2 linked regions of the Coturnix japonica genome follow. The protein of the gene in region 1 binds, or shares a complex with, the protein of each later gene. Links are inferred from orthologs where the notes say so. Each region holds a gene or a part of one and is shown on either strand. Other genes may lie near its edges.

The links.
Region 2: MKS1 (region 1) and TMEM216 share a complex: the UniProt entries of both Homo sapiens proteins name them as parts of the tectonic-like complex. The link is inferred for Coturnix japonica from reciprocal best matches to the Homo sapiens genes MKS1 and TMEM216.

The regions. Positions count from the first base shown.
Region 1 is NC_029534.1:119,449-123,877, reverse strand, and holds the start of MKS1 (Meckel syndrome type 1 protein), read left to right. Parts: upstream 1-1,616; 5' UTR 1,617-2,679; coding exon 2,680-2,759; intron 2,760-2,837; coding exon 2,838-3,015; intron 3,016-3,221; coding exon 3,222-3,377; intron 3,378-3,734; coding exon 3,735-3,832; intron 3,833-4,032; coding exon 4,033-4,161; intron 4,162-4,429. Other genes in the region: BCL7B (B-cell CLL/lymphoma 7 protein family member B), read left to right, coding at 371-463. UniProt on the Homo sapiens protein: Component of the tectonic-like complex, a complex localized at the transition zone of primary cilia and acting as a barrier that prevents diffusion of transmembrane proteins between the cilia and plasma membranes.
Region 2 is NC_029520.1:292,378-296,577, forward strand, and holds TMEM216 (transmembrane protein 216), read left to right. Parts: upstream 1-1,699; 5' UTR 1,700-1,812; coding exon 1,813-1,825; intron 1,826-1,931; coding exon 1,932-2,033; intron 2,034-2,098; coding exon 2,099-2,191; intron 2,192-2,279; coding exon 2,280-2,481; intron 2,482-3,330; coding exon 3,331-3,346; 3' UTR 3,347-3,617; downstream 3,618-4,200. Other genes in the region: TMEM138 (transmembrane protein 138), read left to right, coding at 16-143, 222-393, 1,114-1,189, 1,280-1,392. UniProt on the Homo sapiens protein: Part of the tectonic-like complex which is required for tissue-specific ciliogenesis and may regulate ciliary membrane composition.

The sequences.
Region 1 (4,429 bases):
TCTTAGTCCTGTCCCTAGGGCACTTTTCTTTGATTTCTTATTATAGCATAGACATCAGAAAGTCCCAAATTGCCCTCAGGAGCTACCCAGACCAACTGGCTTCCTGAGTGGTACTGTGGTTCAGTTTGGTTTTAGGGTATATATTGTGTGTAGAAAATACATGGAGATGGATTAAGAAACTGGTTATAGCTGAGTCCAGAGCTGGGCTGGATTCCCTCTCTTGGTGCCCAGGTTTCATTTAGCAGCCTGACTCACAGAGGAGAGCCCAGGGTGTCCCCACAGGGCGAGACACAGCCTTGTCCAGCAGCTCCACACGGCCTTGTGGGCACGCTGAGCTCTTGTCACTGCTGGTGACCTCTGGCTCTTGCAGGTAACTGAAGAGGAGGAGGACTCTGGCGCACCGCCTCTGAAGAGATTTTGTGCTGATCAGAACTCTGTGTGCCACACAGCCTCGGAGAGCTAGCCTGCCCATCCCCGGGGAGAGCCTTCGCCAGACCCTCGCAGAGCTGCCTGCCCTTCCCTGGGGAATGGGGTGCTTCCCTTGTCCTGCCCTTCCCGAGGGACAGGGCACCCCTGCTGCCTCGCCATCCAGCCTGCCCTGCCCTCGGGGGCAGGAGCCTCCCACCAGCCCCTGCAGAGGCAGCCTGCAAGTGATTTGCCCAGCTGAATGGGGCTGCCACCAGTACCTGCAAATTTGCCTCTATTTATTGGCTCCCACCCTCCCTGCTGATCTGTGCTGTAGTGGCATGGGGTTTCTGGTGCGTGGTCTGCATGCGTGGGGGGAGGGATCCTTGGGATGCCCTGTTCTCTGTCACCCCTAACGCACCGGCAGATGCTGTTTGCCTGCTTCTGGATCCACTGTCTGCCCTGTCCCCTGTGCTGGGAACAGAAGAGCCATGTCCCACCTGCAGAAAGTGATGTGTCCGCTCCCTTGTGACCACAGTCTGGGGCGTTCCTGGTGTAGGTCCAAAGGGCAGAGGAGGGAGGGGGGGGAGCGCCCTGAGAATGGAAACAACGGCCCTCCGTGCCGCTGGGACACTGTGCAATAAGCTGCTACTAAGCCATTAGTATTGGAAGAGGGAGGAGTGCTGCCATTTCGGAGGGCAGGTACTGGACACATCGGCCCTGCCTGCTGCTCCTCTGCCTCCAGGCCCTCACAGAAGCCTCTGTCCGCCCCAGACAGGCAGGGGCTGGGATGGAGCGGGGCAGCCGGCACTGCCGTGTCCCAGCTGGACCTGCACCCTGCTCCTCCTGCCCGCCCCGCTCCCCAGGTACATCCCGTCCCCTGGACAGGACACAGGGTGCAGGAGCCCCATGGAGCCCTCCCATGCCCCCATTCCCACGCTCCCCACCCCGCTGGGCCCCCCCCCACCGCCACTGCATGTCCTGCCGTCTGTGATCGAGCCTGGCGAAGCTGAAGGTGCGGCTGCGCGTGGAAGTGGAAAGATATTTTAGCACTGAATAGAATATTTTTAAAATTAAACTATTTGAAATACAGTGCTCAGTGACTGCAGGTGCGTGGGCTACAGCAGCTGGGGCAGGAGCTCAGAGCAGGCGCTGGGCAGCACCGGGCTGAGCCGGGCTGGAGTTTCCTGCTCCAGGCCTGAGCTCGGTGCCAGCTCTCGGGCCCGGTGCTCAGCACGGTGTGGGCCGGGCACCGGGACTTTGCTTTGCACGGGGTCTGTTCCCTGGTGGCTGGTTGGGCTGGAGGCTGCAGGGCCCCGCCATGGACAGCTGGGCTCCTCTGGGCTGCATCCCTGTGAGCTGCCCCTGGATCTGGTGGTCACACACAGCCACAGTCCTGTAGCAGAACGTCTGGTGTGTGTTAAAGCCACAAGTCCCGCTGCGATGCCGGGGGAGCGGCCCTGTGTGCAGCCCATGTCGGGGCACAGCTCAGGGCAGACACAAAGAGCCGCAGGGGGAGCTGCCCTGGGCACCCTGACTGCACTGCACGGGCCCTGGGTTTCCACCTCAGCCTTTCCTTATGGGAGAGAGCCCACACCGAGGTTAATTAACACCACGTGCCCACAGGTATCTTTGTGGCAGCCTTTGATTCATCTCTGTGCATTGCAAAAAATGATTCTTATTTTCCGGTTTATTAAATGGAGCGTATAAATCTAAGCCAAAGGTGCAGCTCCCTCTGTGCGACCGTCACGTGTGTTTCACAGCAGCACTTGCTGTGTGTTCTGCCCCAGTCCGGGGCCGCTCAGCACGTGGTTGTTGTGTGTATCCGGGCAGAGCTGAACCGAGGGCCCACAACGTGGAGGGGGCTCAGGGCGGCTCTGAGGGGTCACAGCGCAGGAACACGAAGCTGTGGGGGTCGCTGAGGTTTGGCTGGATGCGGCCATGCATTGCCAGGCGGGCACATCATTGAAACGTGTGGGAACTTCTGAAGAGTGTGTGACCGTGCAGAGCAGCTCAGAGCACCACGGCTGAACTGGTCGGACTTGAGATAACGTCTCTTTTCCCGTTCAGAACATCGCTGCTCGGCTTCGTTAAGGCGGCTGCGTTAAGACGTTCTGCTGCCGCTGCTCCCCTCTCCTTTCCCGCCGCCCATCGCCCCCGTCCGGTACCGCACTCGGTTCCGCTCCGCTCGTTACCCGGCTCCGCTCCCGGCCGCGCTCTGCTCCCCGCTGCCGCCAGGGGGCGCTGCCGCCGCCCCGCGTCCCTGGTGACGGGATGGCGGCGCCGCTGTGGAGCGCGGAGGCGGGCGGCGGCGTGTACCGCTCCCGGGACCCGGTGCGCAACCTGCGGCTGCGGTGAGCGCCCGGCACGCACGGCCCCGGCTGCGGCTCCGTCCGCGCTCGCTCTCACGATGTCTCCGTCCTTCCCCGCAGGGTCCACATCCAGCGGGTATCGGCCGCCGGGCCCGTCCCGCCGCAGGCCGCGCTGTCCCCGAGCGGCGGCCCCGAGGGGCTGGGGCTGAGCGCCCGAACCGGGCACGGGGCTGCGGGGCGACCCCCGGCCGAGGAGGAGAGCGCCGAGCTGGGATGGCAGCAGAAGCTCTTCAGCCAGGTGCGAACCGCCGCCGGGCAGCGCCGTGTCCGTTCCGTGTCCGTGTCCGTGTCCGTGTCCGTGTCCGTGTCCGGGTCCGTGTCCATGTCCGTGTCCGGGTCCGTGTCCGTTCCGTGTCCGTGTCCCCGCCGCTCACCGGGCCGGGAACTTCTGTGGCCCGGCCGTGGTGAATCAACGCGGCTTTTAACTGTGCCCGTGACGTTCAGTTCGAGGTGGATCTGTACCGACACGAGTCAGCCTGCCAGACTCCGCTGGACCGGCAGTACCACGAGGAGATCCTGAAGCTGGACAGAGCCGGAGGGCGCAAGAACCGCCGCATCTTCACCTACACCGATCACGACCGGTTCACCAACATGGAGGAGGTACCGGCCCGTGGTTCTGCACAGAGCAGCGTCCGTCTGTCGGCAGCACCGGGACCAGCACGGGGCACGTTCGTTGTTTTGTGGCCGTGGTGCAGCGTGCCCGGCGCTGCTCTGCACTGTGTGCTACAGAACGACGGCTCCGTACTGCAGAGCGACGGGCAGGAGCAGCTGGGATGGAGGCACTTGGCTCGGCAGGGTTGTGTTGTTAGTGAAGTTCACAGCTGGCACATGGCTGTGAATAAATATCCCTTATACTTGCATGTACAAATACTTATTCTGGCTTCCAGGGGCAGAATTGCATTTGAGAGAAAAGTCCTGTTGTCATGAAGCGAGTTCTGTTCTGTGTCTCTGTTCCAGCACGGCCAGAAGGTGACTGACTCAGACTGTGAGGTGCCCTCGTACCTGGCGGAGAGGATGGCCAATGTGAGGAGGAGAAGACAGGACCGTAAACCGCTGTGAGTTCAGACTGAGGCTCAGAACTGGCTGATGTGGGTGTCGTGGTGTCCGTGCTGCAGGGCAGCCTGTTCTGTGGGAGCTGTTGGCTTGAGCTGTGCTGGACTCAGGTCTGGCAGTTTGACTCTTGTTTGGTGGGTCTGTGCCCGGCTGCTGGTGCGAGTTCTGCTGACCGTGAGTTGTGCTGTTCTGTGACTGGCAGAGATGGGAGTTCTCTCAAGTCAAAAATCATCACCTGGGAGCCCTCGGAAGAGTTCATAAAGAACAATCACGTGATTAACACTCCTGTTCAGACGATGTACATCATGGCGGACTTGGGACCTTATGGGAAGTAAGTAAAATCCTGAAGCGATCCTGATTTCCCAGAAGCAAACCCATCTCCTTTCTCAAATCTGCCGCTTCTCTCTTCAACTGAGGGAATTCCAAGTGTAACTCCAGCTGCTCTTTCTGCTTCTTTGGGAGGTACTGAGTGTGTCCCTCCAAAAGGTTTTTTAAACCAATGTAGGGCTGTATGGGTGTATCTGTGCCTTTCTGTACCCCCTGTTCCAGAACAAGTGTGTGCTCTATTGAGACTCGCTTTGTGTTTCTTGATGTCTTCC
Region 2 (4,200 bases), on another chromosome or scaffold:
CTCCGCCGAAGGAAGATGCTCCAGACCAGCAACTACAGCTTGGTGCTGTTCCTGCAGTTTCTGCTGCTCTTCTATGACCTGTTTGTCAATTCCTTCTCGGAGCTGCTTCGCACGGCCCCCGCTGTCCAGCTTGTCCTCTTCATGTGAGCAGCAGGGCAGGAGGGCTGGGCTCTCCCATACCGCTCTCTCCTCTCTCTCACTGCGTCTCTCTTCTCCCACAGCATCCAGGACATTGCCATTCTCTTCAATGTCATCATCATTTTCCTCATGTTCTTCAATACCTTTGTCTTCCAAGCTGGACTGGTCAACCTCCTCTTCCACAAGTTCAAGGGCACCATCCTTCTGTCGGCAGCGTACCTGGCACTCAGCATCTCCTTCCACATCTGGATCATGGTAGGTTTGAGGCTGCTGGCTTCGCAGCTCCTTTCTCCCTTCTGTCCCTCTGTGCTGTGGGAGGAAGGCCATAATCTCCTACTTGTAGCTATCGGGCTGCCTCATCCCAGCCCCCAGCCTCAGCACTGCAACCTGCTTGAAAACCCACACAGAAAACCTTGCACAGAAACCCACCACAGCAGAGTGGTCCCCAGTGAAGGCCATGACAGCAGATCCTGCTTTGTTTACCTGGGATTAATCCCCAGCAATCACCAGCGCTCAGAGGCTGGAGTGCTGAAACCCTGCTGAAAAACAAGTCCCAAGGGTCCCTGCTGTGTCCAAGCAGCTTTGTACCCCCTCTTCCCCATCTCAGCTCCCCCCATCCTGTGCCACAGTCACCATTTGACAAGCAAAGCAGCCAGCAGGTGCTTCCTGTATGCTTTTCAACAGGAGAAAGGCCCATCCTGCTGCCCCTGGGCCAGGTCTGTGACTGAAGCTGACCCAGGGATGTTGTACCCACAGCGTCTGGGCAGGAGATTGATGGGGATTTGCAGGGATCTAAAGTCTGAAGCTAGAATAGGTCCTGACTCGCTGGCCAAATCCCCTGAGCTGCTTAATCTTTGGAGCTGCCACCAAGAGCACGACAGCCCTTGTGGGGCCAGCTCCGTCCCATCGGGATCATCAGTGATCCCATGGGTTCAGTGAAGCCCATGGGTTCTTCCTTGTTTCCGTCTGTGTCAGAACCTGCGCTGGAGGGATTCCAGCCGCTTCATCTGGACCGAAGGCCTGCAGACACTGTTTGTTTTCCAGCGGCTGGGTAAGGGCTCGTGCTTACTGAGGCAGCAGGAACCTGCCTGGGGGACACCCCAGCTTAGTCCCTGTGCCCTCATCTCCCTCCCTCCTGCAGCGGCCGTGCTCTACTGCTACTTCTACAAGAGGACTGCAGTGCACCTGGGTGACCCGCTCTTCTACCAGGACTCGCTCTGGCTACGCAAGGAGTTTGCTCACTTCCGTGGTTGATGGCCCCCACTGCAGGAGGGGCAGCTCCTCATAGCCAGGGGATGGAAGGTCTCAGCCCCCCCAGCTCCAGCCCAGCTGTGTTCCTCCTCTTCCTGGTGGTGCCCTGGGAGCTGGCAGGGTGCTCACAGCTCACAGCCCCTGGTGGGATTGGGGCGTTTTTGTGAGTAGTGAGGAAATAAATTGTCTGTATTTTCCAGTCCGTGTGTGCTGGCTCTCTCCTCTTTTATCACGCAGCTTCTCGGTGTCCCACTACTCAGGGCTGTTCCCATTGGGTTGCCCCCCCCGGGGGTCCGCAGGCACAGCGAGGGGCGGAATGGGGGATTCGAACCCGCGGCTCGGTCCTCCAGGGCCATAGAGAGGGCGGGATAGAGCGGCCGAGCGCTTTCCCTCCTGCAGCCGCGGTTCCCATGGAGATGGAAGATGGCGGCGCGGAGTGAGTGCGGGGCCGGGAGCGGGGGGCGGCGGGGCCGGGGGCGGAACGTGAGGCGGGCGGCGGGGCCTCGCCCATCCCATCCCATCCCATCCCGCGACCCCCACAGGCCGCCAGCGCTCCTCGGCTCCGCTGCAGGTCCTGCTCTTCCTCAACGGCTGGTACAGCGCGACCTACTTCGTTCTGGAGGCCTTCATCTTCGCCTACAAGGGTGAGCCCCCGCCCTCCCGCTCCTCCGCCCCCCGCCCCCAGCGCTGAGCGTGGCCGTGCCCGCAGTGCTGCTGCTGCCGTACCCGCTCACCAACCTGCTGCTGGACGTGCTGCTGCTGCTGCTCTACCTCAGCATTGAGGCCACGCGCATCTTCTTTGGTGAGGCCTTGTCCCTCTATCCCGCACCCCGTTTCCCGGTGTCACACTGTGTGGTGCAGCCTTGCACTGCTCACCCTGTGCCCCGCAGGTTCCAAGGGCAACCTGTGCCAGCGCAAGGGGCCTCTGGCCGTCTGCCTGGCCCTGACTGTGCCAGCAGCCATCATGGCGATCTACTGCCTGCTGCTGCAGACCTATGCCCTGCGCCTGGAGGCCATCCTCAGTGCCATCCTCCTGCTCTTCTACTCTATGGAGCTGCTGCTGGGCGGCCTGGCGCTCGCCTCCTTCTCTAGGTAGGTGGCGTGGGAGCAGAGGGAGCTCTGGGGGTTCTCCTGTCCAACCCCCTGCTAAAGAAGGTTTGCTAGAGGGCATTACAAAGGAGAGCACCCGGGTGGCCCCACCACCTCTCTGGGCAAGCTCCTTCCAGTGCTCTATTACCCTCAAAGTCAAGAAGTTTTTCCTTGTGTTTCCTATTGTTGGTTCCCTACTGCCCCTTCTTGTTACTACCACCAGGCACCTCTAAAAAGAGCGTGCCCCCACCCTCTTGACCCCTACACTTCAGATCAGATCCCCTCTCAGCCTTGTCTTCTCCAGGCAGAACAGGCTCAGAGCTGTCAGCCTTTCCTTGTAAGGGAAGTGCTCCAAGCTTCAACCATCTCTGCAGCACTCCAGCAGGTTCCTATTTACCCAGAGCCAAGGAAACCAGAACTGGTCCCAGCGCTCCAGATGTGGCAGAGCAGAGAATAAGGAGAACCTCTGTTGCCCTGCTGGCCACACTCTGCACAATGCACCCCATGGTCCTGTTGGGCTTCTTGGCTGTAAGAACACTGCTAGCATATGGACAACCATTGGTCAACCAGGACACCTGTTGGCATTCTTGGCCACAAAGGCTGGTTCATGGCCAACCCATAATCCACCAGGACACCCAAATCCTCTGCAGATCCCCTTTCTGTCAGCTCAGCCCTTAACCTGCACTGATGTATGCAGTTACTCCTCCCCAGGTGTAGGACGCTGCGCCTTGTTGAACCTCATCAAGTTCATCCCCCACCCAAATCTCAGCCTGCCCAGGTCTCACTGAGAAGCAGCACAGCCTTCTGCTGGTTGAGCCTCTCCTCACACATCCTCTCCTCTGTTCTTTGCAGCATGGATGCATACTGAGGCCCTGCACCAGAGGACCACAGCAGCGCAGGTACACGAGATGGCAGCAAGCAGGTGGCACAGGCTCCATCTCCAGCCTGTGGTGGTGAGCCAGACCCACACTGGCACCTGTGGGCAGTGCCAGGGCTGTGCCTGGGTAGCACCCACCCTGCTGCCACCCAGCCCCGAGGTTTGTGACACACAGGTCAGTCCAAGGTACAGACAATTTGTTTTTTTTACAGCGTTGTAAGAAGAAATCACTATTTTCCAATAAATAGTTATTTTTATCTGGTGCCTGGGCACGTGGCATCCCCCCAGGCCAGAGCACCTCATTACCACAGCCAGCCCCTGAGCCAGCATGGGAGGCACAGCAGCCCTTAGGAAGAGCTGGAAGATTGGGGGTGGGGGGGCGTTACAGAAGTGCTTGGCTCTTGCTGCCCATCCACACCTTCATCCCCTGAACATCCCCACCAGAATCTCTTGAAAAGCTCCATATAAAAGACTGACAACGTCATCAAGTTTATTACACAACTTCCAACCTATCAGAAAGACAAACAAACCTAAGTCACTGCGGGCAGAGGGGGGCAGCGCCTCGCCGGGTGCTTAATAGAGGTTCCTCTCTGCACTTTTCCCCCCCACACTAATTGGAAAGAAACTATAAATTTGTGTTGTTACGTAAAAAAAAAAGCCAACAAAAACAGAACTCACCCACCAAATGCTTCCCCCCAGTGCTCACCTGATGGTACTTGATGGAATTCATTGTGTGATTGTAGCCTAACAAAGACCTGTGGAGCTGGGTTTTTCTCCTGTCCAGCAACAGTTCTGAAGGTAATGCCACCCAGCTGGCATCCCTGGGGGCTGGCTGGTGCTTTGGG